Bombyx mori: one gene and its partners. The protein of the gene in region 1 interacts with the protein of each later gene in a pairwise test. Links are inferred from orthologs where the notes say so. Each region holds a gene or a part of one and is shown on either strand. Other genes may lie near its edges.

Region 1 (3,512 bases):
GAGAGCGCGGCTGCAGGCTGCGGGAACAACCGTCCGTTCGTGTCCCTAAACAACTCTATATGAAATCAGTCATTTCTCAGAGGTACTCGTTTGTGGAAGTCACTTAAAAATTTTTAACAAAAATAAATCAATACTTATTTACCTTGAAAAAAGTTAAACAAAAAATTTGTCCGAAATAAAAACCTTCTTTTTTACCTTAACTAGAAAAATAATTACAAAAATAATAATAACAACGCAATTAGCTGCCACTGTCAGTATTCACTAGTTTTACTGTCACTGTTCATTGAAGACGTGACGATCTCGTACAATATTAATAATTCAATAATCGTGTACGGTGAACGAATATTGAAATCAGCCATCCCTTTCTTACGCTTATGAGTGACAGAGATAGCTGTTACAAATAATATTGATTCGAAATACGATTCAGTATAAATACGACTACAATGTATAAATTACAATATAAAATGTTGTACAATTAATTGTCTACGTGTTAACACAATGTTCGGTTTAGACTTCAGCGTTTCGTTGATGCGTTATGATCCCTAAAGTAAATATCGTGCTCATCCCACAGGGTAAAGGGCGCAGCACGTCACCACGTGATCGTTTTCAGTGTGCTTAGTGCGAGTTTTTTAACGTTCTCGATAGCGTTAAAGTTAGCTCATATTTGTATGGAATGGAATCGTTTGTGTACGTTTGCCGCTAGGGGCGCTATTCTAACTGCATACAAAATTGGGTTAACTTCTACGCTACGCTGACGTGTCCGCGCGCCGCTGACGTCACGTCTCGCTCACTGCGCGCGCTTAGAGCGAGACGTACAGGGGGCGTGGGTGGGGGGCGCGGGGTGCCTGCCGGGGCACTACATCGGGGGCCTCCAAAACCGTAATCAAGTTCTCAGTTGAACCTGTTTCGGTCAACATTTTTCGAGCCCGTGAACTACGATTTGACATCAAATATCAATAAACTTTTTTATTGATACAATTCACAAAGCATTAATGAGTAATAAATATAGTAGGTAATTCTTGATACGCAAATGACATCCCGATGATGCCGATTTTGACATTTTGGATAAGTTTCATTAATGAATTTATCTAGGACTGTGTCTAGCGATGGGTCAGACAGCACGCCGCACACCGCCGCGTCGTGCGTTACCATTGTGCGGTGCGCGTCGTGCATAACCGCGTAATTAAGTCGTGCCAAGTCTCCTCGCTCCATAGGTTTGGACTGGTAATATTCTTTCTAGCTATCAAATACTATATCCATATAATATTGACTAATTTTGCGAAGACTGATTTGCGACGTTCCCCTATCGATATATTTCAGATTATCGCTATATGAGTGCGCCGCCGGCGGAGCACCGGGGCAGGGGGGCGCAGCTCCCGGCCGCCCCCGCGCTACATAGAGCCGTGTCGGCTGCTATATTTAAAAGCTAAGATAATATAAAAACCTACTTAATGTATTTAAACTAATTTCACATAAATTTTGAAGATTATTTTTTGAATAAGATATATTCTGAAATTTTTATTCATTTAATGAACGTCCTCCCATAGTGCGTCCCTCCGACCAGAGCACGGCGGCGCGCGCGGGGCACTGAGCGTCGTTTTACTGTATGCAATGAGTATTATTTAAAGCTACAGAAAACGTCAAGCGATTATGATTGTAATAGTTTAATGATAAGTGAAGTTGTCGCTAGCTGATAATGTATGTATTCTAATAATGATTACGAACGACCTGCGAGTCCGGCGTGACGTTGGTGGGAACCTTAACTGACAAGGGGTGAGGAGCTAAAATACCCTTTAACTGAAGGCCTTAAAGTAGTGAATGTTGTCGGATGCGGATCAGCAGAGCTTTGGGCGCGGCAGCGGGCGCACGAGGTACAGCTTCTCGCCGTGCTTGTTGGTGTAGATGGGCGCGCGCTGGTAGTGCGCCACCAGCAGCTCCAGCGAGGGGAACTTGCGCTGGCCGATGCAGTAGGCGCCGCCCTCCACGTGCACGCGGAAGTGCTTGTTGCGCGCGGGCGCCTTGAGCGACACGGAGTAGTCGCCCGCGTTGGTCTCCGAGTCGCGGATGAGGAAGTCGCCGTCGTGTCCGTGCTGGTTGAGCAGCGCGTCGCAGTGCGTGCGCGTGATGGCGCCGTAGTACCAGGCGCGGCCGGCGGGCCCGCGGTCCGGGGGCCGCTCGGCGTAGGGCAGCGCCAGGTAGTCGGCCAGCTCCTGCAGGTAGTTGCGCGGCACGAGGCCCAGGCGGCCGCGGTGGTCGCGCGCGCGGTACCACTCGGGGTCGGAGGGCGGCCGCTCCACGATCTCCAGCCGGTCGCCCTTCTCGAACGACAGCTCCTGTTCGTTGTTCGACGAGAACGAGTACAGCGCCACCTGCCGCCGCGACAACACCAGACGTTACCAATTATCTCAAAATGCTATAACCGGTGCGGGAGAGGGCAGGCCCATCCTATTCCTGTCACAAGGACGCGAGGTCTAGTAAACATCGAAACGTGTTGCAAGAACAAACAATAGTGATAGGTTCGAGTGTAAATTTAATTCGATCCTGGGTACAGAGGTTACGAGTAAACTATGAACGGGGCTATGAACACCCTAGATCATATTCAATTAGTACTCACAACAATATCCAGAACGTTTTCAGCCATCGCGTAGGTGTGCACGGGGTCTTCATTGTCACCTTCTTCGCTCGTGTAATTCGATGGAAACCTGTTAAACATAGAGAGCGTCACACGTAGGGTCCACCTGTACTGTAGGTTCGCAGACCAAGAGGCCACCGGGGGCCGCGCACTGACCAGCCGGTGTGTCCCTGGTACTGGCCGCGCCACCAGCCGTCGTTGCTCTTCTCCAGGATGAGGATGCGCGTGCCCTTGGTGAGCGAGAGCTCGTCGGGTTGCTGCGCCTGGTAGTTGTACTTGACGAGCGCCGCCCCCAGCGCGTCGCCGGCGTCCGTCCGTCGGGCGGCGCTGGGGGACTCGGGCCCCGCCCCGCGCACCGGCGAACTGTTCGACGGGAGTGTCTTCGAACCCGAACCTTTCTTCACTTTCTTCTTAATACTGGAAGAAACGAAAATCAGCCAACAGCCATACATATACCACAAATGTTTTTGCTTAAAATTTAAAATATTCACTGAGTAAAACTCTTTTACTAAAACTAACCTGTCAAAAAGCGATGGTTTCTCTTTCTTGACATAATTGCTGGGCACGTAGCCAGACTGGCTGCGAGCATTCTGCACGCGCCACCAGTGTTTCGAATCATCAAGCAGAAGGTACCTCTCGTTTTTACGAAGATCCAACTCCTGGGCACCTTGAGCTGCATAATCGTACTTTGCTACAACATAGCACACGTCATCCTGAAATGTATTTAAGCCTATTATTACAATAAGCGGATTGATTTTTACACACATCTGAAGTCAAATGAATTCAAAGTCAAATTATTTGATTTTTCTTTTGTTTTTTCTTAAATTTTTAGTTTTATTTTCGGGTTCACCATTTAATTTGATTTTTATTTTGTTTCTTT
Region 2 (4,543 bases), on another chromosome or scaffold:
TTGATCCACAAATATAGTGTAAATAAAAAAATAGATAGATATAATGACACATGTTCAAAAAAAAACTAGACTTCATAAAATATTTACAAGTTATTTTTCGATTTGTAAAAATAAAACTACATCAAAACAGAATAATCATAATATAGTTTACGTTCAGTCCGAAATATCATCACATCATAAATTCATTTATAATAATGTTCAGATTTATTTAGCTTGCGTAGTATGCTATGTTTTATGTAGTAAATTAGAATCAAATTCCAAATTTCTAGAAATTCCAAGATACATATTGTGTTTTTTGGTGAAAATTGACTTCTACAAAATATTCATAATCAAATACTGAACACCCATAAATTTTCCAATTCAAAACTTCTTGATACAATTTATATTAGATTCAATATCAATTCCTAAGTTAAATCTAATCATCATAGTATCTTAGCGTGGTTTCCAACTTATCTACTATTTTCTTGTAAAAGTTGATTTGTTGCTTCAAGAATTTTTGCATGGTGGCTTTTATATCAACAGTCCGTTCTGATTTGAAATGGTTGATTTCGGCAAGAAGCGCATATGATATAACATCGGTCCTTCTCAAGACTTCATTTAATTGTGCAACCTCCATTTTGTTTTCAGCAGTCAGTCTTTCACACTCTCTTTTCTTTTGCACTGCACCCTTATGATTGGCCAGGACATCAGGAAAACTAGCTGCAATTCCTTTGTATAAATGAAATTTATCACCCAGTGGCTCCCAATCATACTTCGGTTGTTCATCATACATCCTACCAATATCAATGTAGACACCACCTGTCATTTTAATAGCTGAAGTCAGCTTAGATGTTGATACTATGGTACCTTCATCCAAGCTTAAGGCATTGCCAAGACTATAAAATGCTTCTCCTATTTTCTGGCAGTCACTCTTGTATGGTCCTTGGAAACGTTTTGTTTGCACAATGCACATGCTAGACACAGACTTGATGGCTGTGTCGACACTGTTAATGAAAGTGTGGCACTGTTCTGTGATATGATCAACTTGTGATTGCAATAATGCTTTCTCAGGTACCACTAGTGAAACACAATAATTTAGACCTAGCAAATTATCTTTTTCAGCTTGCCTTTTACCAGCTTTCCATCTCTTTTCATCAGTACATGTTAAGAAGTGTTGCCAAACCTCGCTTCTGGAGAGCACAGGGTGCTTGCACATCCAATCTACAAACTCTTGGAGCTGAACTCGCCTGCGTTCGATTAGTTGCTCATCATATCTTCCAGATATCTGTTTGTCAGGCAGAGGGGGGATTGGAATAAGTGTGAACTTTTCTTGTAGTCTCTCATGGAGCCAGTCAAAGTGTTTGTATCTCCTGGACACTTGAATATTATTGAATGAAGGAGTCAGTTGATAGGCTATAAAACTCTTGATCCCTTTGAATTTAGATTCCTTTTTTGGAGAGGCCACAGTCACAATATATGGCTGAGTAATTGGGGACCAAATATATCCATCTTCATCTTGGATAATGTAGACCTTTTCAGAGTCTGGTACTTCTACATTAAGGGTTGCCAGCAGGTAGCTTTCTCCACTAATCTTTGAAGATGGTGCAAATTTGTTTTTTCTAACTGTGCCCACTGATGAGCTATAATTTGAAGATGTGTCATCTATGTGTTGATTATAATCATTAATAGGCATACCGGGAATCACAATGGATGATTGCTGGTTGTACTGCGATGTCTTGTTTTGTTGCTGGGCTGGTCCTATCTCTGAGTATGTATCATCTTCCCAGTCATCATCCCAGCCATCTTCATGCGAAACTCCTCTTTGGTAATTGTTATCTCCTGCACTGTAGTGTTGTTCGCCCCAGTCATCTGCTGCTTGATCATATCTAGGTGCTGGAGGAGCAGCTTTAGTTTGAATTGATTCTTCTGGTGTCAGTTTTCTGACATATGCAGCAGGAAATAGACCAGTTTCTCCATTAGATTTTTTTCCTTCCCACCAGCCTTCTCCGATTTCTGTGTTGAGCAGTGTGAGCACCTCTCCACAAGTTATGGACATCTCTGTGGTGCCAGGCTCACCAGTGAAGTCATACAAAGCCTGCACTTGGGTCGCCATTTTAAGACCCGTACCTACAACAATTGCAAAATAGATTATTGTATTAACCTGAACGATTTTATTAGGAAGGTTTGTTACATTGAGTACAAATTTTATCTTATCAGTGTTATCTAGAAATGTAGGGAGTATGCACATAAATGATAAATAAATTGCGATGTTCGTGTTATAACTATTATTATTTTATTTAGTTGTAAAATTTGAAGCCGAAATTGGTGGGCTGTAAGGCGCTGACACATATCGCTAGTTTCATAATAGCACCAATTAGCTGTAATTGATGAATTTGATCTCGTTTACAGTTTTAGGATTCTGCTCGAAATTGTGACATGTTCGTATTAAGCATTTGTATTGTATTCAAAAGTACGTCGAAAATGCATTGTTCGCTGTGTAAAACCCAGAAAAGTAGTATGTTTATTTAAAAATTCTTTGATGTGAATAATTTTTAATGTATATGAAAATTTTTATTACTAATTCATAAAGGTTTTCATATGTGAACGAAGTATTGGTGGATTTTGAAGGTGAAACGGTTTTAAATTCAACAATTTTGCGTTGGAAATCAAACCAATGACGTCAATTTTGAACTCGTGTATTGTGGAACTTCAGTGAACAATCGCAGTATTAGTCGGTTCTGCACTTCAATTTTGATTCGATATCACTTATGTAAACACATTTACACAAATAATGCGTTTTACTTACTGTTTTTCAGTATAAAACGTAATTTCAAAGCGGATACCCCGAATGTACAGTCATCTGTTTGACAGATTAACAAAACTTGTTTTCTATAGCTATTGTTCTCTTACAACATATAGTGTAAAATTTGTATGTTCTCGTTGATGTGGCAAGGAAATGTTCCTTTTACACGGTTAATAGTCATTGGTCAGAGTAAATTATCAGGTATCAACATCCAATAGGAGACGGGCAACACAAAATAACCAATTAGAATCTCTTAGTCTAAGCGGAGTTAAAAAAAAATTATGTTTAGTGTTTATTAAAGTTATGTACTGGTGAAGAGAAAATTGCTGTGAAATAATTGACTCGACAGTAATTTTCATACAAATTTCTAATAATTAAAACTGTTACGATTTACAGTAGAATGAAATGTAGATGTCGCTACTGTTTCATGGAGGTTATATGAATAGAGCTAAAAGCGAAAAAATGCGCCAATACGATCATGGAAATCAACCCGAGTAGCCTTACAATGCTATGTGATAGCCACATGGGCACTGACGTTGGATAACAAACTAAGTAAAGGTATGTTATGGTGGCCTTACGGGCTCACCACAGTGGCGACATCTGCTACGAGATTTCAGTTGTAATTCCATTCAATAAAGGTACGACGCCGCGACGACTACGCAATTAAGTTAACAAAGTGCGATGAATGAAAACTTGATGTTGTAAACTGTGCGTGGGTTTTTTTATGGATCGAAACTTAGTCCAATAAATAGACAAGTGGGTTGATTAAACTTTCCTACGTCCTGGGGTTCGGGGATTAAATTATGAACAAGGCTTTAACCAAAAAAATGCTTATTGATCGAATGCGGACAATCAAATAAATATCTAATACATATTAGCATTCATTCTCTCATTTTTTCGCTTTGCACTCGTCTGTTCGACTTTGGCATTGTCGCGCTTTTCTTGTTTGCATACTACACCCCATCCTATGTTCCGGTATGCAATGGAGCTCGAACGTTCGTGAAATACGATTTCTATTATGGCCGTATGTTGTTGGTCTGCTCTCTACTAGATGGCGTTACTTGTTTTGGTCGTTGTGTGTTGCGTTATTTGCGAGATGGCTTTCATTATCTAGGTAGGTACGTACGGTTTGTAATCGTTTAAGTTGATCTGTTTACATTTGCATTTATATTTGTTTTGTTATTGGTATTTCTGCGTGTAAAATGTTGCCAAAATTTTCTTTAATAATAATACCTATGTCTATACTTAGTCTGGCCATAAATACTGTTACAAAGGAAAACAAAAAAAAATGTGTGCGTGTACTAGTGTACACACGTAAGAAGTGAAACTTATTTATGGCCTTATTTTTCGAAAAATGATCTACATGCAACTTTCTAGAAATTGGTTAAATAAAGTTAAATTAGATAAAGTTTAAACAAAAGGATTTTATTATCATAGACATGAATACAAAAAAGTTAAATTAGATAAAGTTTAAACAAAAGGATTTTATTATCATAGACATGAATACAAAACAGATGGCGCGTAACGGAAAAATGTGACGCGTAACCGAAAAATGTGACGGTAAATTTTTTTCCAACGCCGATAAGGAAGTTTCACTTCAAAAATTCTATGGCAAATAACATTTATTACTTTTACAGTGTGTTAGTTTAATACATAAATATAAAACAATTTAAAGTATAAAAGCTTATTCGAAGTGGTCTCCATTGGCTGCAATTCTGTCCTTTAAACGTTGAGGCCAGTTATCAATAGAAGCACGCAATT
Region 3 (3,799 bases), on another chromosome or scaffold:
CATTCTGTATGTACTGAATACAAAGCCGCCAAGAAAGTAATTATTTACTACTCGACAAAGAAAACTATAATAATCTTGAAAATAATAAACAAACACAAAAGCGTTTTTCACTTCCGTTTGTTTTAACGATTTTTTGTTTAGTAATTACAAAAATTTACTTTCTACAATATTTGTTTTACAGCAAAATAAAAGAAAACATACATAATATTAATTTATATCTTGAGGTGTCAATTATTTTCAAAACATTAGTATGCTAAAATATTTATCGTTGCAGAAAGGCCTTGTTTCATGAACCCGCAATGTAATTTGAATAATTTTAGCCTGTTCTTCCCGTGTCAGCTAATTTTGTACACTATTCATTATTGCACCTCGAGACATTTTATATGTTTATGGTAAGAAAGAATAAATTTAAATGTAATAGAAAAATAGGACATGTTATTTGTTTCTAGCATCACAGAAAAATTGCATTAAGCCTTTAGTATTTTTTCTTCTATGAAGGGAGTGGTTATTACCAGTACGATGAAAATATAAACCCAATGCAGCATGAACATTTGTTATTATTATATACATTATTTGTTATTACATTACCTTCCAGATAATATTAGGGGACGGCACACCGACAGCAAGACAAGGCAACTTCACATCCTCTTTGTAGGTCGCGGTGAATGATTCGTCAAACGAAGCGATCTTAGCGGGTACTGTGAAAAATATGAATCAATTTAAGTTTAAAAACTACTGTTTGACTGTTGACTGACTCGGTGGTGCAGTAATTAGCGTCTCTGACTGTTGCGCTGAGGGTCGTGGGTTCGATTCCCACATCGGGTAAACATTCGTGTGATGAACAGGTTTGTTCGTTCTTTGTCTGGGTGTTTATTGTTTATAGGTCTCCAAAACACAGGGAATCCGAAATTGGGGTCAGTTTACCATGCGTGATTATTATGTAGGTATTTATTATTAGTTACTATTAGATATGTATTCAAAATTTTATTATTTAACCTTTGTCGCTGGGGCTGCAAGAGGCGGTTGCTGAGGGTTGTCCTTCGCCGATGATAGTTGAAGCGGTTACCCAGAAGTCGTATCGGCCGGGCTTCAGTTCAGTTGCGGAGTAACTAGTTTGACTGGCTGGTACCTGGAATTTTATAAATAGATAAAAAATAGAAATATATAAAGATACATTAGCTTATAATAGCAACACCTCGTCTCTTCCCGTGGATGTAAAAGACAACCGGGTTGGTGGTAGAGCATATTGTAACCTGGCACGGATGGGTACTAATATTATATTTCTGCTGCGAAGCCTGATACTCTGGTTTGATCTGTGGGAAAACTGTTATACAATACGATTGAGATTTTCACCTCATGTCACAAGGTGAGTGGGTGGCGGGATTCACGTTGTGATATCAATGGACTCCAACTCCACAATGTAAACTAGTTGGTCATCAGAATAAGCTACAGCTATAGCTACAAGAACATACAAGATATACCTACCACGATTTTCTAATTTCATGAATTCCCGAATATACACTTACGGGGTGAGACATTTAGTTTTTTTTTATGGCAATAGTTTTAACTTTATGCCAGTTTCAAGTAAAAGGTAGGGAAACTGCACGTGAAACAAAATAAACAAAGACATCAAAAGGAAACAAAGAGACAATTAGTTTCAGTGGTAGCACCAAAAAACTGGCTAAAAAGAGGGTAGACAGATAAGTCAGCTCTTAGCATCCTACCCGCAGTCTTCCGACTATCTGTGATCATCATGGGGAACTCATAAAATGCGAACGTCCTGGTAAGATTACCAGTTCAGTAATAGAGTGTATAATTTAGATAGGCGCAAAGTTTAAAAGAATTCCTAACACATGTTTTAATTTAATTACCTTATTAGGATGAGGTTCTGCGTTCTGTGCTTGCGTGTACACGTTGTAGTGGGTGACAACTCCGTTAGGTTGCGCGGGGGCTCTCCAAGAAACAAGGATAGAATCCTGTCCCATTACAAGAGCTTTGACGGCACGCGGGGCCTCGGGTACTACACAGTACGAAATTATTTTAAGAAATTTCAAAAAAAATACATTGATCCACGTAAGCTTGTTACGGTGTCATACAAAGTGATATAACGGGAGGGATTTTATTAAGCGTCTTTATTATAAGGCGGACCGTGGCTGAAAGTTTTGACGCTCAAAAAAAACTTACTTAGGGTAATAAATTATGTTTTATTCAGTGTCTTTACTCAGGTGAATACTCACTGCTAGGAAACATTATCTGTGTCGATAAGGAACAAATGTGATCATTTTAAAGAAAAGCTTAAACTTTACATGGGATTTATAACGAAATGTCTTCAATCAGTTCTCCTTCGTTAAAATAGCTAAGCTAATTATAAATTCGAGTAAAAAACCGTTTCAAAACTAACGGTAGTATCAAAATCCGTCTAATCCTACAAGGTTTATAAACAGAATTACTCGAATACTTCCATTAATCAGGAGCACGGTGACTAATCCAACTAGCCAATCAGGAGTAAGAACGCGTTTCGTTTTTATAACCAACTTCCAGGAATTAAAGGGTTTTAATAAGTTTTGCGAGTTTAATTTATTATTAGACGTGCTTCATCACGGGAACCATTCGTAAGTGTTACGTACGTATTTACTAAGAATATTTTTGCCTCTTGAATTTGAAACCCGAATAGGTCGCAGCAGGCTATTAGGATACGAAGAATTCACTGTTTGGTCATTTCCACTAATGTGTTGTGTGACTGTGTTTCAATATATAGTTTTTGGCATATATTACTAGTTTACAATTGGTACTTTACAATACAATGGTATATTATTGTATTATAAGGATGTGTATCAACAGGAAAGATCATGAGCGTATTTATCCTACGGCTGATAGGACTATGACATAAGGCCACTGGTAGCGAGGTGCGGTGCAAGCCACATCACCACGCGTTGACTTTGTTTGTTTCTTAATTTGGCCTTTTTAGGATTGTCATTGATTATCGTTAAAACACTGCAGGATTTAATTTTCTAACTAAAAGTTTATAATTTTTTTGGTTCATCTAATATACGCCACTGAGAAAGATACAATATATCACCGTAAAGAAGAATTTAGAATACTGACCGTCTTGTTCAGTCTGACAGTGGATGGGTACAGATCGCACTCCGTCTCCGCCGTTAGTGGTCGCAAGCACTTCCATAGAGTAGTTAGTGAATTTCTTGAGTCCGTGGAGAATAGTTTCGCTACTGGCCGTGTTTTTGGTGTCTTTAGTTTTTTCATCTATAATAAATTCAGCATTGATAATATTACTATAAACCAGAAAAAAAACGAAATGTACTTGCTTAATATAAGTTTGACGTACGAGGAGATACGTACCGTACCAAGTTTCGCTGGGTCCGTAAATCACTTTGTACGCCTTGATCAGACCATTGGCAGCAGCCAGTGGGGGCGACACCCAGGAGACGCGGATGGTTTGTGCCGTGAGGGTGGTGCATAAAACGTCTTGAGGGGGAGCAGACGGGGCACCTTCGGCGGTATAGGCGCGAACTTCAGCGGACACCGGGCCCGATCCCATCTTATTGAAGGCTTGGACTACGACAGTGTACTGGGTGTAGGTCCTATGGAAAATATTCAGATGTAAAAATTAATAGTACACTACAGTTATCATGAATTGCTGACTTTCGCAGTCTTCAAGAAAACATACTTCAGATTTTGAATGTCCAAATGGTGTTCCTTGCCAGATTCTTTGGAAATGTCGACGGTTTCGAAAACGAACGATTTGTTGCTGGAAGCCAATTTGTATCCAACGTAGTACCTG
Region 4 (4,378 bases), on another chromosome or scaffold:
TTCTATCTGCATATAAACTTCGTGCTCCCATATCATTGCTTTTCGGTACAAACAGTAAATCCTGAAGAAGTATGAGCGCTTGCCATTGTCCTTTATAAGGCACAGTACACCAGTATCTCTCTTCTTCCATTCAGAATGTGCTGGACCTTCAGTTGTGAAGAGTTGAACAACTGTAGTTGCTAGACTCTGAAAACATTTTAAATTTTTAAATTATGTGTTGCTTGTGATGACTATGAAAGAGAGGGTCTTTCATCAGGCAAGTTTATTTTCCAGACAGCGGCCCGCAACATATGTCTAAATCAGAAAATAGTTTTGAATATAAATACTATTTTTTGGATACTACAATTCTTTGTCAAAATATAGGTATATTTTTTGGGCAATTCTCGGAAAGTATGTAGGCTTACTGGTGGTAGGACCTCTTGTGAGTCCGCGCGGGTGGGTGCCACCGCCCTGCCTATTTCTGCCGTGAAGCAGTAATGCGTTTCGGTTTGAAGGGTGGGGCAGCCACTGTAACTATACTGAGACCTTAGAACTTATATCTCAAGGTGGGTGGCGCATTTACGTTGTGGATGTCTATGGGCTCCAGTAACCACTTAACACCAGGTGGGCTGTGAGCTCGTCTACCCATCTAAGCAATAAATAAAAAATTGATGATGTGATTCAAATTTTCATTACAAATGCAAATCCTAAATCTGCCTAAAGCTCCCAAAGGGTATCTGATTTCACCAAATGACAGATTATTGTCACTATAGTATCTAGGCATATATGTAAATGGGTATTCTAAGATATTTTTAAGAATAAAAATCTTTATTTCAGTCGCAGATAAAATCCAATGCCGCTGAGGCTTCAATTTTGTTTTTAAAGGTAACAGAAACAAGATTATGGTATATATGTTGCTCCAAGAACTATGTATCGTACCACATTTAGATAATAATAGATAATAGATTTTATATTGAATAACACAATTTTTAGATAATATAATGATTAGAAAAATCTAAAAAGATAATATATAGATAATATATAGACTTTAGATAATATATTGAATAACACAATTCTTTTCTGAATCATTGAGTCAGTGAGTCATAATTATATTGAATCACATAAAAATATGCAAATCAGATACTAGTAATGAGGTGGGAAATATATTTTTATTGATAGTGGCTAACAACAGAGCTGACCCCGTATATTATTGATACAAGTAGTATATGAAGACCCATAGAACAGATGATAATATGGAGGGGTCCAAATGATTTGTGAATTTTTTATGTTTAATGATTTTTCATATATTTCAATAATTTGAAATCGTAGTGGTTTTCTTGTACAATATGGTACAAGATTATTATATTCATGGTTGTACTTGACCATTGTTTAATAAGAGATAAGTTGCGCTTTGAAATTTGTTGACTGATGATTTAATACTTGAAATTGTATAGATAATATTTATACAGACACTCCCAACAAACAATCTTTTTTATATTGGATTTATTAAATTTCTAAACTATAATCCACTACAGTAACATGTGTATGTATATTATGAATATATTGTATAATAGACAAGACATGCAAAACCAGTTGTCGTAATAAATACTTTACTGAGATCTGATATAGTAACAGACTTTCACTGTATGTCTTTATGGGGTGAAATTTCTATCATATGCAGGCTTTGAACACTTTCACGACATGACTGGTCGAAATGCAATTACACTTTTTCTGACTTGTTAAGATGTACTTTTAACTCTTTTTTGATTAGTGTTTTTTTTTTATAATTTAAACTGGGCAGCTAAGAGCACACATGATGTGGAATTATCAGTTTATAGAACTCTCAATATCAACCATAATTGTTTTGCCCCAAATTTTTCACATTAGAAATAGACAGGGACAGTTTCCACTGTTCAGAGGTTCACAAATAGTAAATATACTTTTTATATTATTTGAATTTCGTTTAGATTCTATTACTTTTATTTATTTCAGTGTCTTTCATGATTGTGTGAGAATAGTTTAATTTCAAAAAATTCCCTATCTGTGGGTTTTGAAACCCAATATGTGAGTTAATAATCATTTAGAATTTACGTTAGTTGAATATATAGTTTGTTGTACACAGAAAATATAAAAAAAATATAAAAATTCATTGTTGAAATTTGTATTGACAGTAATTTAATTCCTAAACATTGCTTGGGCCTGAAATGTCAAGCATTGTAGTCGGTCGGTTAAGTTCCGAGGGTTTATCAAAAGCCTTTTATACTATTAAAAAATTAAAAAGATTTGTAATTTTCATTAGATTTAAAACAAGACATTTAACGTTACAAGGAACAAGATAATATCTTAATCAATCATCCAGGCGATAGAATAGGACGCAAACAACTCTATCGTTTAGATAGCATAAGATAATACATTGATAGGGCTATAGATACGTAATCAAGGTGGACTGATTCAACGCGAGCTACTTTCATGAAGGATCTAAAAAGGATGATTAACTCACCTGACATTTTGGTCCTATTAGGCTGAACACCTGTTCGTTCTCCTCGCGTGACAGGAGATTTGTCGTTCTGTGCTCTCCCCTCGGCATCTTGCTTGCCTAACGTAGATATCACACATAAAATCACTATAAACACATGAAAACTGATGTGTCAGCTACAAAAACTCTTCTGCATTTTAATGTTGTTTTGTTCGTTTTATCTAGCCGCTGTTTTTACTGGGCCCATGTAAACATTTCTCATAAAATGGAAACATTCATCTCGAAAACTAAAAGTTCTTAGGAAACCGTTCTGATTTTGCAAATCTTCACTTTCTCCCTCTGTGAGCGTATTAACTTACTGTGCTGTTTGATCTGATTCAATGTGTATAGTGTATAGCATAGATTATACACTTAAGTGTATAGTCTATGGATTTTATTGTGCTCTCGAATATATTAAGTGTATAATCTATGGTGCTCACAGACTATATGCTACGTGTCGAGTTGCCAAGCATTCGCAAATTTGTTTTTATTTACCTACTATGTACACGAACAAAAAATTCCTTAGTGACATCTGTCTCTACACCCCTGATTTTACTTATTTCTTTCCTCCATAACTCAGGGTTAAAAACCGGTTCGTGCATATAAAATTTATTAGCCGATATCTGCGGCATCGGTGACTTGGTCAAGGAAATGTCAATATTTTTTTCTAGTGACACCTAATATTTAATAACGGTGCTAATGCACCAATGGTAACAATGCTAATAACCGCTTAGCATCTGTGAAAGTACCTAATTATAGAAAATTAAGAAAGTACTGTGGCTATTCAAAGTTTTCTAAGAAGTTCACTGAAGTATTAATAACTTCCGAGCATTTTTCTGGAACTTATTCCTTTGAACACGTCTCGTTTCAATCCATTTCATCACAGTAGATTAGGAGGTAAATCAATTTCATTTTTATGTACTACCTATTATTACAATGTGTCAATACACCAGTGAAACTTATGTGGGGTAAAATATGGGAATTTTTAGCGATAAATCACTATCCCAATTTTCTCTTGGCACCTCTATACTAGAATGACAGCCATTTTGTTTTTTTTTTACTTCGCAGTATGGAGGGTAGAGGCACCTCTACTTCGCAACTCAGGCGCCTACAATGATTTAATCATTGCAACATCTACATAATTTATTACTATATAGGTCTATGAATTTATGTGTACTATCTATGATCGATATAGACATATTAGGAATATGGAGGGTAGAGGTAAGGAGAACCGTCTCTGTGTGTGAAAAAGTGTCCGTTAAAACTGACTAAATAAGGGTGGCGCTACAGTAGCAACCGGGTAAATTTTAAAAAAGGCCCTGAAAGTTATTAGAATAAGATAGAGAAATAAAAAAGGACGAAAGACCTGTAAGCACTACAAAATCACAAAAAGTATATTATTTAAAGCTGATAAGAAAATGCAATCGATGTCTCCACCTTTTACCACAGCAATAATTTTAGGTTATATTGACGAAATTAGTTTGGACTACGTAAACTTGTGTATTACACTGTCACTAACTACAAATATATTAAATTTCCTAACTCAGCATACTTCAATCAGTTAAAAACTGCTCAATTCATATCATACCCTGTGCCTATGCTAGCGCCATTCTGGAGGATTTTTGAACTGTTAGTTATTGCTGAAAGTGCGACACTTTTTCAAGCTTCTTCCATATGAGACGGTTCTCCTTACCTCTACCCTCCATAATTAGGAAGACGAAAGAGGTGTCATTTGAAAGCTAACGATGTAGACAATAAATTTTTTCGCAAGTTAAAAAGTATGTATTAATAAAATAAAAATTTAATAATGTTTTATTGCATTTTTTTTTTTTTTTTTCATGAAAACTAATTGTAAAACTAAAACTGTTTTTTTTAATAGTGAAA
Region 5 (4,359 bases), on another chromosome or scaffold:
GGAACTTCAAAACATTCTTAATTATATAGCCACAACTGTAAACAACATATACATTTTTTTTGTTTTAAAAAATTATCTTAGAAATTTTTATGAGTAATAAGAATAAGAAGAGTAATACAATTAAAATTTTGGAATGCTTTGAACAAACAGTCTATTAGAGAAAACTCGAAATGAAAACTGGCAGTAAATATTAAAGAATGCCCTCCAATAATAAATAAATTTATTATTTGATGAAATTATTTACCTGAATGCGTAGTGTGCATCTGAGCTGAAGTCATATACTTCGAAGGAGGAGGTTGAGTTGCAGACGCATCATACCATTTCAGTACATCTAATACGGCCTGTGGATTGTTCTTCTGTTCTTGTTTACTAATGTTTGCAGCCATCAGAAGTCGCGCCCATGCCTCTGGCATACCCTTTAATAAACCATATGATAATTCAAGAAACTATTTTGATAAAATTAATTATTTTCATGATTAAAAAGGTTCATCTTGAAAGTTTAGAAGGTCAACATTTAAAATGAGAATTAATGCATGCTTTGAAAGTACATAAATGGTACAATTTGCGTAGTAATAGTATATTGTAGTTGGCATTTTGGATTGTAACAATTGCATTTTTTGTAATCATATGTAACTAATTTAATTTAGTATTATGTATATACAACTACAAAAACCAAAGTTAAGGTGTCCAAAGTGAGTGATTGTTTATGGAGGGTTACATTTTTCAAGTATATCTAGGGGTGAAAGCTGATTATTTGGTTTAAGTGTCATTTTGCAACTTTACAGGAAAGCCATTAAAAGTTTAAAACAATTATCAATTATCTTTACAAAAGAACTACCTCAGCTATTTCAATGGAGTAAACTTAATTGAAGTTTATTCAAAACCATTCAAAGTGTTGATGGTAATACTAAATAAGACGCACCTTTAATTACAAAGACAAAATTGCATATTCAGAAAAATTTTGCTTAAACCAAATAGCCTTTTACTTCTCTATATGTATGTGTGTATGCCTACGGCCTAAACCCTTTCATGGATTTCAAACACTAAAAATCACAAAAAAATGTACTATATTATAAATATAATGTGAACAAGCAATTAAAGTTTTGAAGAACAGTGTATCAAATTTTGGATTTTCAAAGTATATTAAGCGTGAAGCAGAAATTAGCAGTGTTAGCAAATAATTTGATTGAAAAACATTTTACTTAACTGGAAATAACAAAGTCAAAGTTTATTTAAATAGTCCAATGACAATACATGTTAATGTTATAAAGAAGTACTAATACAAAACATATATAAGCTATTACTTACTGTTATAGGCAGCTTGAAACAAAAGCGGTAACTTATGGAGCTTCATTTACATTGTGTTCATAGATATATTCATATTTTTATGGCACTGTTGTTCAATCAACATTTTCAATAACTAATTTCATAATCACAATTCATTTATCTAAATTAGTATTACCATGTCTACTCAATATAGTTTTATATTTTAACATGCTTAGGATTTTTTTGCAAATTATGGATACAATTTAATATTGCAAATCTGCATGGCTCTTATCTACTTTTGATTTTGCTCTGTAAGCCACTCTTAAAGCAAAGCATTGAAGCTATTAGGCAAATTGTGTAGGCAATATTTTATAACTTAGTCTATGTTGCAGCTTTTTCACTTTGACAAGTTTGTGAGCCAATGATTAGTTGTGCTAAAGTGCATTAGTTTTCCAGTTGTAATACAAAAGTTACTCAACATATGATAACAAAATCTACTAACTTCTGGATTCATTAAAATATAAATTTTACTTTGAATTTGCAGTAAAATAAATTTTAAAAATGATTGGATGATTTTTATGTGATGACTTTTATAAGTTGATATACTTACAGTGAATTCCCCCGTAACAGCATCAAAACCAACATGAACGGTGTGTTCAAAGTTTGTTGGATAACTAATATTTGGTTTATTATCATTGTGTGCTGTACTCTTTGATCCTTTTATTTTTGCTTTTAGTGTTTTCTTTTTCCTATCACTACCATCATCAGGCTCTGTAATTGAAATCAATTATATTGAAATTAAAACAATTGGTGATTTGAATATCTTTTAATGTCTGCACTACACTGCACATACATTACAATAATATATAATAAATAAATAATAAATATTTACTAACAATCACGCCACGTTAACTGGTTCCGTGATAAGCTCGTAAAGAACTTGTGTTATAGGTACCAGATAACGGAAATAAATGTAAGATTTTTATTATACACATACATATATTTAATATACATCCATAACCCTGGAAAATACATTTATATTTATCATACAAATATCTTCCCTTGGCGGGATTCGAACCCGCGACCCCCTTGTGTAGTGACCATGTCACTTACCACTACACCAGACGGTCGTCGACAATATTATTAGATTATCATTTATCGTAACTTATAAAACAATGATTAGTTTGGTTTTAAATTTGGATTATTAGTTGAAAAAGGGTTCAGTGTTACCTTTCGGAAGAGGTCTCATGTCGACTGAAGCTACAGAGTCTACTCTATCAGTGGCACGATTACTTGTTAGACGCACCGGTGGTGCAGGCGGTTTATCTTCGTCACTCGACATATCGAATCTAGGCCTGGCTGCCAACAAACAAACTAGTTAAAAATATTTAAGGGTGTTTCGTTTGGGTACTACGTGCGAATTATTTGCTTACAATGACAGTTTTAGAATGACTCACAAGATTATGTTCGCTTAATAAACGAACGCAAAAGATAAGTGCAAAGAATGGATGAAATTTTAACCAAAAACAAAAAGGAAATCGGCATATTACTCATGGACGCGCCCTGGTCGTAGGGTTTGAGACTGCGACAAAACGCTGTACAATTTGCTTGAATGAAATGCGTACTTACCCGTTTTTTTAAATATTAAATGTTTTATGGAGTTTCGTAGAATGAATATATAACATTTCTAAATCTTACAACACTTTGTATGACTTATCACCTATGAGAGAACTATTTTTTAAATTCAGACACATCCAAAGATATCACTGACGATGACTAGAGCCGCCATTACCGCCACAGATCACACTCATTTGCAATAATACCACAAACCAAATATCAAGCTTCAGTAAGAAGCTCAAGAGAGCTGCTTCAATTATTATTCTCATATTTTTATTTATCAAAATATCTCAATGGCTTGCGATGCACAACAGCTGAGCCTGAGACGTTCACGAATCGCAATTGTAACAACGCAAAATGTTACAGTATATAATACGATATTTTTTATTGTTTAGAGGGGTCGACGAACTCACGGCCTATCTGGTGTTAAGTGGTTATCGATGTCTATAGACTTCAATACCGTAAAGGCTGCCATCCACAATGAGACATGAGTTCTAAGTTTCAGTGTTGTACAGTACAACAGCTGCCCCACTCTTCCAACAGAAACGCATTACTGCTTCACGGCAAAAACAGGCAGGGCAGTGATACCTACCCGTGCAGACTCACAAGACATCCTACTACCAGTCGCGCCTCGTCTATGTCAGTTTCTTGAAATTTCTATTTTTTTATACTTATTTTTACTTTTTTACTACATAACGAAATGAGTTACTGTGCCATTGGCATAGATGGTAATAATTCAATACAATTCAGGAATTAACCCAGATTATAATTATTTAAAAACTTTAGCAACCCAGTAGCTGACTAAGTAAAATGTGTAAGTAGTGTTCAATGATTAGATTAAATGAAAAAATATTTCAGTGAAATGGTAATAATTTATTGAGCCTAGACTTTTAAGGCTAAGAAGCTTCATCCATCGTCTTTGTTTCATTTCGTGACACTTGCTCTTTTTCACTGATGCAAAATGGTTAATAAGTCACCAGTTTAAGACGTCTAAATAAGAAGAAACACAACATTTAAATTATTAAAACTTCACAAAACTTTTTTGGACTTTGTGCTAAAAGGTTTATTAACGTAGTGCAACAAAATAGAAAGTTGTGAATTCGATAGGTAGCCAATGAAAACAACAAAATCGGAATTTGTGGAATAAGGGATTGCGGAGTGTTGTAACCTTCTTTTCCATATTCCATTATTTGAAATATACTTCGAACACATTGTCATTTTTACCATCTATCATTATTATATTTTATGCTATGTCTTGAAAACATTGTTTCATTATATTGGCGACGAGTTAAAAGAAATTAAGATGAACGATGAACAATTCGCATTATTTTTACATGCACAACAAAATCAGCAAGAGCAGATTTTACAAATCTTGAAATTGTTGGTACCAGCAGCTTGCAATACAACAGCCAAGAGCGTGACGAACGACTCTTTTACAAAACATGATACGGATAACAAGATAAGTATAATCAAAAA

The links.
Region 2: the proteins of cytoplasmic protein NCK1 (region 1) and sorting nexin lst-4 interact in a two-hybrid assay, tested with the Drosophila melanogaster proteins (2 studies listed by BioGRID). The link is inferred for Bombyx mori from reciprocal best matches to the Drosophila melanogaster genes dock and SH3PX1.
Region 3: the proteins of cytoplasmic protein NCK1 (region 1) and cell adhesion molecule Dscam2 interact in a two-hybrid assay, tested with the Drosophila melanogaster proteins (3 studies listed by BioGRID). The link is inferred for Bombyx mori from reciprocal best matches to the Drosophila melanogaster genes dock and Dscam1.
Region 4: the proteins of cytoplasmic protein NCK1 (region 1) and actin nucleation-promoting factor WASL interact in a two-hybrid assay, tested with the Drosophila melanogaster proteins (2 studies listed by BioGRID). The link is inferred for Bombyx mori from reciprocal best matches to the Drosophila melanogaster genes dock and WASp.
Region 5: the proteins of cytoplasmic protein NCK1 (region 1) and serine/threonine-protein kinase Pak interact in a two-hybrid assay, tested with the Drosophila melanogaster proteins (3 studies listed by BioGRID). The link is inferred for Bombyx mori from reciprocal best matches to the Drosophila melanogaster genes dock and Pak.

Annotation. Positions count from the first base shown.
Region 1 is NC_085110.1:18,093,143-18,096,654, reverse strand, and holds part of cytoplasmic protein NCK1, read right to left. Parts: intron 3,346-3,512; coding exon 3,152-3,345; intron 3,050-3,151; coding exon 2,789-3,049; intron 2,703-2,788; coding exon 2,615-2,702; intron 2,370-2,614; coding exon 1,836-2,369; 3' UTR 1-1,835. UniProt on the Drosophila melanogaster protein: Adapter protein that links cell surface receptor tyrosine phosphorylation to downstream signaling pathways and effectors, many of which are involved in regulation of the actin cytoskeleton.
Region 2 is NC_085119.1:13,643,488-13,648,030, reverse strand, and holds the start of sorting nexin lst-4, read right to left. Parts: upstream 3,010-4,543; 5' UTR 2,786-3,009; exon of another isoform or gene 2,558-2,785; intron 2,107-2,557; 5' UTR 2,093-2,106; coding exon 416-2,092; 3' UTR 1-415.
Region 3 is NC_085118.1:9,060,619-9,064,417, forward strand, and holds part of cell adhesion molecule Dscam2, read right to left. Parts: intron 3,797-3,799; coding exon 3,686-3,796; intron 3,600-3,685; coding exon 3,358-3,599; intron 3,262-3,357; coding exon 3,106-3,261; intron 2,021-3,105; coding exon 1,872-2,020; intron 1,130-1,871; coding exon 997-1,129; intron 699-996; coding exon 589-698; intron 1-588. UniProt on the Drosophila melanogaster protein: Cell surface receptor involved in guidance and targeting of growing nerve axons.
Region 4 is NC_085121.1:15,494,752-15,499,129, reverse strand, and holds the start of actin nucleation-promoting factor WASL, read right to left. Parts: upstream 2,886-4,378; 5' UTR 2,567-2,885; coding exon 2,480-2,566; intron 187-2,479; coding exon 1-186.
Region 5 is NC_085121.1:11,072,497-11,076,855, forward strand, and holds the start of serine/threonine-protein kinase Pak, read right to left. Parts: upstream 2,882-4,359; 5' UTR 2,821-2,881; coding exon 2,817-2,820; exon of another isoform or gene 2,724-2,816; intron 2,626-2,723; coding exon 2,497-2,625; intron 2,038-2,496; coding exon 1,877-2,037; intron 417-1,876; coding exon 245-416; intron 1-244.